Sus scrofa: one gene and its partner. The protein of the gene in region 2 purifies or fractionates together with the protein of the main gene of each other region. This does not show direct contact. Links are inferred from orthologs where the notes say so. Each region holds a gene or a part of one and is shown on either strand. Other genes may lie near its edges.

Evidence for each region. Proteins that work in one complex are often made in the same cells at the same time.
Region 1: the proteins of RNF123 (region 2) and UBAC1 purify together in Homo sapiens (affinity purification with mass spectrometry; 7 studies listed by BioGRID and IntAct, counting the BioPlex papers as one, with this or other methods). This does not show direct contact. The link is inferred for Sus scrofa from reciprocal best matches to the Homo sapiens genes RNF123 and UBAC1.

What each region holds. Positions count from the first base shown.
Region 1 is NW_018084833.1:1,669,475-1,672,589, reverse strand, and holds the end of UBAC1 (ubiquitin-associated domain-containing protein 1), read right to left. Parts: intron 1,841-3,115; coding exon 1,754-1,840; intron 1,256-1,753; coding exon 806-1,255; 3' UTR 710-805; downstream 1-709.
Region 2 is NC_010455.5:32,238,525-32,242,615, forward strand, and holds part of RNF123 (E3 ubiquitin-protein ligase RNF123), read left to right. Parts: intron 1-3,654; coding exon 3,655-3,832; intron 3,833-4,091. UniProt on the Homo sapiens protein: Catalytic subunit of the KPC complex that acts as E3 ubiquitin-protein ligase. Promotes the ubiquitination and proteasome-mediated degradation of CDKN1B which is the cyclin-dependent kinase inhibitor at the G0-G1 transition of the cell cycle.

The DNA of each region.
Region 1 (3,115 bases), on a different chromosome or scaffold from region 2:
AAGCAAAAAAAAAAAAAAACCAAAAAACCACTAGAAAAGGAGAGAGGAGAAGGTCTCCTGACCGTGGGACCAGCGGGCCCTCCTCCAGGACTCAGGAACGTTCAGCTGCTTCAAGAGCAGGACGTGTGTTCACCGAGGGGAGAAGGCAGCGGAGTCTGCACAGTGACGGGATCAGCGTGCGGGGAAGAAGCGCCTGGATGAGAGGAGGACAACTGCGGGCAGAGGGGCCGACGGCGGGCAACTGCTGGAAGCAGACTGGCCTCTGAGGTCAGGCAAAGGGCCAGGCAGGCAGGAGCACCTGTGCCCGCTGGGAGGCTGCTCCTGGGGGGCCAGGGACCAGGGCTCTGAGCCGCTGTGGACGTGCGCCACCTTCCTGGTGAACGGGCTCAGCACACTCACGGCCGCCTGGTAAGCCCTGCCTGAAGCAGGCGGCCTAGAGAAACCCTCCCGCGGGCCACGGAGGGCGCAGGGCAGCCGGGCAGGCAAGGAACCAGCAGGTGCCATGGCCGCAGAGCAGAGCGGCCAGTCCTGGCACCGCCTTGCGATGAAGTTCTCTAGAACAGAGGCCCGGCCGGAGCGGAGCCTGCCTGGAACACAGAGGCAGCGACCAGCCTCGGGCAGCAGGGCCCGGGGGAGGCTCTCGGGCCACTCACAGCGGGGGGAGGGGAGCCCCTGGGGCCTGGGCTGCGCTGGCTTTTAAAAATCCGGGTTTTTTAAGCTGAACAGCAGGTACCGGTTGCTGGTTTTATTATTCTCTTTAAGCATAACACTCTTAAAGGCACAGACCCTTCCGTACGTATACACATCACAGTCGAAAAAAATGCCACGGGAACGCCTCACAGGAGTAAGAGCCAGTCAACCAACAGGCCCTCAAGCTCGGCCCTACCCTGCGTTGCTGTCTACACTGCCGGCCTGGATCATCCACTTTAACTGGTTTATCAAAGCTTGAACAGAGCCACCGCATAGGCGGCTGTCCCACTGCGAGCAGGGCCCAATCTCCGGGCCCCACGCGGCACTCGTGGCAGGAGCTACCGGGGGTGGTGACGGCAATATCAGCAGGGCCATCTGTGCGGTGGCTGCCGGGCCCGCCCGAACCAGCAGAGAGAAGGCACACACCTAGTAACGTCTTGGGGTTGGTCAGGCCCAGCTGCACCACGGGGTTGTCCAGGATGGCCTGAAAGAGGGGACTCTCGGGGTCGATGCCCTGGTCCAGCTCCTCGGGAGAGGGCTTGCGGTCTCCCAGCAGCCACTCGCACTGCGGACAGAGGGCGGCAGCCGTTAGTGTCCCCGGACCCCCTCCGACCCCAAGCGCTGCAGCTGGAGCTCCCGGCCGGCTCCCAGGGTGGTCTTCTCGGCAGGCAGCCCACCCGGCCAGCGAACGGGATGGGGAGAGGAACTAAGAACGCTGGGCTCTGCTGCGGGGAAGCGGCCGGGCAGGACTGGGCGTCCCCCAGGTCCAGGCCTCTCTGTCTCCCAACTGCTTGGCCACTGCCCGGCTCTGACCCCGCAAGTGGGCGAAGCTGCCGCCCCAGCCCCTCCCGGGCAGCTCCCCGCCGCGCTGGGCACGGGTCCATCCTGGCGCTAGTGGAACGAAGTCCACCAACCCGTCCCTCAGCCCCAGCACCGCGCTTGGCTTCTGAGGGCAAAGCGAGAACCTCCCGGGGCCCGAGAGCTCGGCGCCGCCGCCCACCTGGCGCCCTGCCTGCCGCAAAGCCCAGGGCACCCGCCGCCGGCGCCCGGCGGTGTTACTCACGGCGGCGTTCTGCTGGTTGTTGTTCACCCGGAGGGCGTCCATCACCTCCTTCTCGTCGAAGCCCATCTCCATCAGGGAGACGACGGCCTGGGGAGAAGGCACCGGCTGAGGCCGCGCCCGGAAGCGTCTGGGCGCTTGGCAGAGGCTGGGTTAAAACGCCGCCGGGGCTGCTCTCCGAAAACCCTTTCCCTACGGCCTCGGCCGCACGCTTCCTGGTTTTCTGAACCACAGGGAGACGCAGCGCCGAGGTGAGGGTCTGCCTGCCGCCCAGAGGCGGGCGGGCGGACGGGCCGCGGGTCCCCCTGGGGCAGCCCCGGCTCTGCGGGCACAACGGCCTTCACTCGATCCAGGGCGAGTGTCGGGGAAAAGGGGCGCACGAGCAATTCCGTTTCAGTGCAGACAAAACGCCCGTCATTTTCATAAGAAACAGCATTTTCAGAGTTCCTGTCAGGGCTCAGTGGCAAGGAACCTGACTAGCATCCATGAGGATGCAGGTTCGATCCCCGGCCTCGCTCCGTGGGTTAAGGACCCGGCGTTGCCGTGAGCTGGGGTGCAGGTCGCAGACGCGGCTGTGGCTATGGTGCAGGCCAGTGGCTACAGCTCCAATTCGACCCCTGCTGGAAACCTCCATATGCCGCAGGCGCAGCCCTAAAAGACAGAGAAAAAAAAGAAAAAGGTTTCCTTCACATTTTATCTTTAAAAACGGAAACTAAGATTAATGCTAAACGCAATTAATGAGATTTAAGCATAAACACGTGCTAATTTTTGGAAGGAACAATGACCCCATGTCCAACGTTTGGGGGTTGGACGGATGTACGTTTTCAGGACAAAAAATCCCCAACAGGACAACACACCCTTCGCTTTGCCCCGACTTTAGCGCACAATCTCTGAAAGGGTCGGCTCTGCACAAAAAGGTAACAGATTTTTCAAAGCCTCTCGGGCTTCTCTGAACTCTCGGCAGCTCACACCACGCGATTTAAGCCTCTGCCACCTTCTGTCCTCGACCGCTCACAGTGGGGGCTGTGGGCGCTGCCAGCCCAGGGTCGGCGTGTGGACACCGCACAGCCCCGTGCTCTGACCTCACCCCCCTTTGGTGGACGTGTGCGGCCAGCCTGCAGGCCGCCTGACTGCTGCTCGGAGGGCCCAACACAGCCGCCGCCAGCTGCGGGCGGGGGCCGGGAAAGACGGCTCAGCGGGGCCAGACGGCACGCGGTGCGTCCGACGGTCGGTCAGGACTTTCTGCTTACAACCCCCCTCGTCTGCTTTCCCGAGCCATGGCCTCCCTCTGGGCGTCAAAGACCGCTGGGGTGAGAGCCCCACGCAGGAGGATTCTGACGCCCACGCTATAAAACCGCCGGCAGT
Region 2 (4,091 bases):
CCTTTTTAGATTATTGTTTGCATATAGAAATGAAATTGATATTTTTGTCTTTTTTAGGGCTGCACCTGCAGCATATAGAGGTTCCCGGGCTAGGGGTTGAATCAGAGCTGTAGCCACTGGCTTATACCACAGCCGAAGCAATGTCAGATCGGCCTACACCACAGCTCGTGGCAAGGCTGGATCTTTAACCCACTGAGCGAGGCCAGGGATTGAACCTGCGTCCTCATGGATGCTAGTGAAATTTGTTTCTGCTGTGCCATGATGGGAACTCCTGCAATTGATTTTTATGTATTGATTTTTTAAATTTCCTGAATTCCTTTATTAATTTGAACAGTTCTTTTGTGGGATCCCTTTTTTTTCTTTTAAAGTATAGTTGATTTGTGATGTGCCAATTTCTGCTGTACAGCAAAGTGAGTCATACATATAGACGTTTCTTAAGTAATATTTTCCGTTATGGTCTCTCCCAGGAGATTGGATCTAGTTCCCTGTGCTATATAGTAAGACCTTGTTGCTTATTCATTCTAAATGAATACTTTCTATCCCACTAACCCCAAACTCCTAATCCATGGCACTCCTTCCCCTCTCCCCCTTGGCAACCACAAGTCTGTTCTGTATGTCTGCGAGTCTCTATTTTGTAGATAGGTTCACTTGTGCCATATTTTAGAATCTATATATAAGTATATAAGTGATATCATATTGTTTTTGTCTTTCTTTTTCTGATTTCACTTAGTATAATAGTCTCTAGTTGCATCCATGTTGTTGTGAATGGCATTTTTTTTTTAATGGCAGAGTAGTATTACATTGTACATATGTACCGCATTTTCTTTTCTTTCTTTTTTTTTGTCTTTTCAGGGCCGTACCCATGGCATATGTGGGTTCCCAGGCTAAGGGTCCAATCGGAGCTGTAGCTGCCAGCCTACACCAGAGTCACAGCAATGCGGGATCCGAGACGCATCTGCTACCTACACCACAGCTCATGGCAATACTGGATCCTTAACCCACTGAATGAGGCCCGGGTCGAACCTGCCACCTCATGGTTCCTAGTCAGATTTGTTTCCGCTGCGCCATGATGGGAACTCCAGCTGTCTCACATCTTTTAAATCCATTCATCTGTTGATGGACATTTAGGTTGTTCGCATGTCTTGGCTGTTGTGAATAGTTCTGGAGTTCTCTTGTGGTACAGCAAGTTAGGGATACAGTGCTATCACTGAGTGACTTAGGTTGCTGCTGTGGCAGGGGTTCAGTCCTTGGCCCAGGAACTTCCATATGCCACAGGTGCAGCCCCTCCCCCCAAAAAAGGAAGATACTGTGAATAGTGCTGATATGAGCATAGGGGCTGCATGTATTGTTCCGAATTATAGTTTTGTCTGGATATATCCTGAGGAGTAAGATTACTAGATCGTATTTTTAGTTTTCAGAGGAGCTTCCTTTGTTTTCTGGGTTTTTTTTTATGGTCACACCCATGGCATGTGGGAGTTCCCCAGCCAGGGATTGAATCCATGCTACATCTGCAGCAATGCTGGATCCTTTAACCCACTGCACCCGCCAGGAATCAAACCCGCACCTCCACAGTGGCCTGAACCACTGCAGTCAGATTCTTAACCCACTGTGCCACAGTGGGAACTTCTTTATACTGTTTTCCATAGTGGTTGTACCAATTTACATTCCCACCAAAAGCGTGGGAGGGTTCCCTTTTCCCCACACCCTCTCCAGCGTTTGTTATTTGTAGACCATTACTATGATGGCCATTCTGTCTAGTGTGAGGTGGTACCTCACTGTAGTTTTGCGATTTGCTGTTCTCTAACAATTAGCAGTGTTGAACGTCTTTCACGTGCCTGCTGGCCATCCATATGTCTTCTTTGGAGAAACTTCTGGTTAGTTTTCTGCCCATTTTTCAACTGGACTGTTTGTTTTTTGTTGTTGAGTTGTATGAGCTGTTTGTATATTTTGGAGATTAAACGCTTCTGGGTTGCATCATTTGCAAATATTTTCTTCTAATCTGTAGGTTCTCTTTTTTGTTTATGGTTTCCTTTGCTGTGCAAATGCTTGTAAGTTTAATTAGGTCCCACTTGTTTATTTTTATTTTTGTTTCTTTTTGTGGAATCTTTAGGGTGTTTGTTCTCTGTATGAGATCATGTCATTTGCAAACAGATAATTTTACTCCCTCCTTTCTAATGTATATGCTTTTTACTACTTTTTCTTTCCTAATTCCGGCTAGAACTCCCAATACTGTATTGAAAGAAGTGGTGAAAGCAGATAGCCTTGTCTTGTTCTTGAGCTTAGTGGGAAGCCTATCATTCTTTGACCATTAAGTATGATGTTAGCTGTGAACCTTTCACACTGCAGCCTCTATCATGTTGAACTGCCTTTTTTGCTTCTGCATCTTAAGTGCTTACACTTTTGCCTCCTGCTCATTTAGTTTCTCCCATTAGTAAAAGTCCCTGGTGCCTTTCCCTGACTCTGCATCTGCTCACAGCACCCACTCTCTCCCTTCCTTGTGACTTGCCTTCCTCATCTTCCCTCACTTGTGGCCCAGCTCAGGCTCCTCTGCTTCTCTGAGAGTCTTGCAGCGTGTCTGTTGAGCTCCCCCCTCCCTTTGTGGACACACCTCCTCTCCCATTACAGTGGCCCTTGGCCATCCCCTCCTCAGATTCTTGGCCTTCTGGTGCCGGCTTCCCGCAGGCCTCCTGGCCCATGGCCCTTGTGCACACCTGGGCTCAGGCCCACTCTGATTTCTTGCTTACATCTTCCCAGGCTCCCAGGTTTGAGATCACATCAGAGAGTTGGTGGAAAGTGCAGATGCTTTTTAAGAGATGTGGGTGCTCTGGGCCTGGACTGGGGTCTAGGGCCTCATTCTTGTTGGTGACCCCTCCTGGGCCCTTATGTGGGATCCTGATAGACTGTCTAGAAACCATACAGTGTGGAACAGTGCCCTTGGCAGGTTTTATCTGCTTATTGTGGCCTCTGTTCCACCAGCGGGCACGCTGCCTCTGGATTTCACAGCACCTTCTCCTTTGAGCTCCAGACCAAATTTATACTTGCCTCCTCAACATCACTGCTTTGGGGCAGCTAGGCACCTCATGCCTCCCATGTCCTAAGCCACATCCCCTCTGCCCCTCATCAGGCCTGCTTCTCCTCCAGGCCTGTGACCTCCACGGAGACCCCATCCCCTTTCTGAAATGTGGGCCCCACTCTTGTGGTAACCGTTCCCTTGCCCCAGCAGCCCAGTGGTGCATCCCCATTCCTGGACACCCCATCCCTCTGCTGTCTCAGGCCCAGATGAGGCTGTAGCTTTGTCACTGCCTTGTCCTCACTTGCCCCTGCAGCCCCTTCTGATCTGGGCAGTGTTGCAACCCAGGCTTCTGGTCATACAGTACCTTCTTGATTAAAAACTTGTGTGTCTTACAGATATGCAAACCAGAGTTCTGGTTTATTCCAGGTGGTAGTGCTGCCCTGTCCAGGCTGGGTGGCTCTTCTTGATCCCCCAGTGTGGTACTCAATCACCCCTACCTGTGCCACTGCTCCTGCTTCCTAGAATCCAGTTCTTAGTTCTCATGGCATGTTCCTGGGAGGCCTTTGCTAATCCCCAGACTGGGCCATGCCCCCATGACCTTTCCCCTCAACAGCCCCCCTCGCCCTGTGTGCCTCCCGCAGGAGAAGATGCAGGACATCTATTGGCTGCTGCGTGTCTGCCTGCGGACCATTGAGCATGGCGACCGCACGGGTCCTCTCTTTGCCTTCATGCCTGAGTTCTACCTCAGTGTGGCCATCAACAGCTACAGCGCTCTCAAGAATTACTTTGGCCCTGTACACAGCATGGAGGAGCTCACAGGTGATGGGCCGTTCAGCCTGGGAAGGGACAGAAAAGGGGGCCTTTGGATTGAACCCCCGTGGCCCGGCAGCACACATGCACTTGGGGAGTAAGAAGGCAGCTCCTACTCTGCTCTGCAGCATCATGCAAGCACTTGCAAAAGTCCCACATGGTGGTGAGCTCTGCCCTAGTACTGGCAGCCTAGCACTTGCAGCTTCTCTCTGGTGTGGGAGGAAAAGAGGCAGAATGGAGTACAGGGTGTGGGGATACCTGCCGCCTG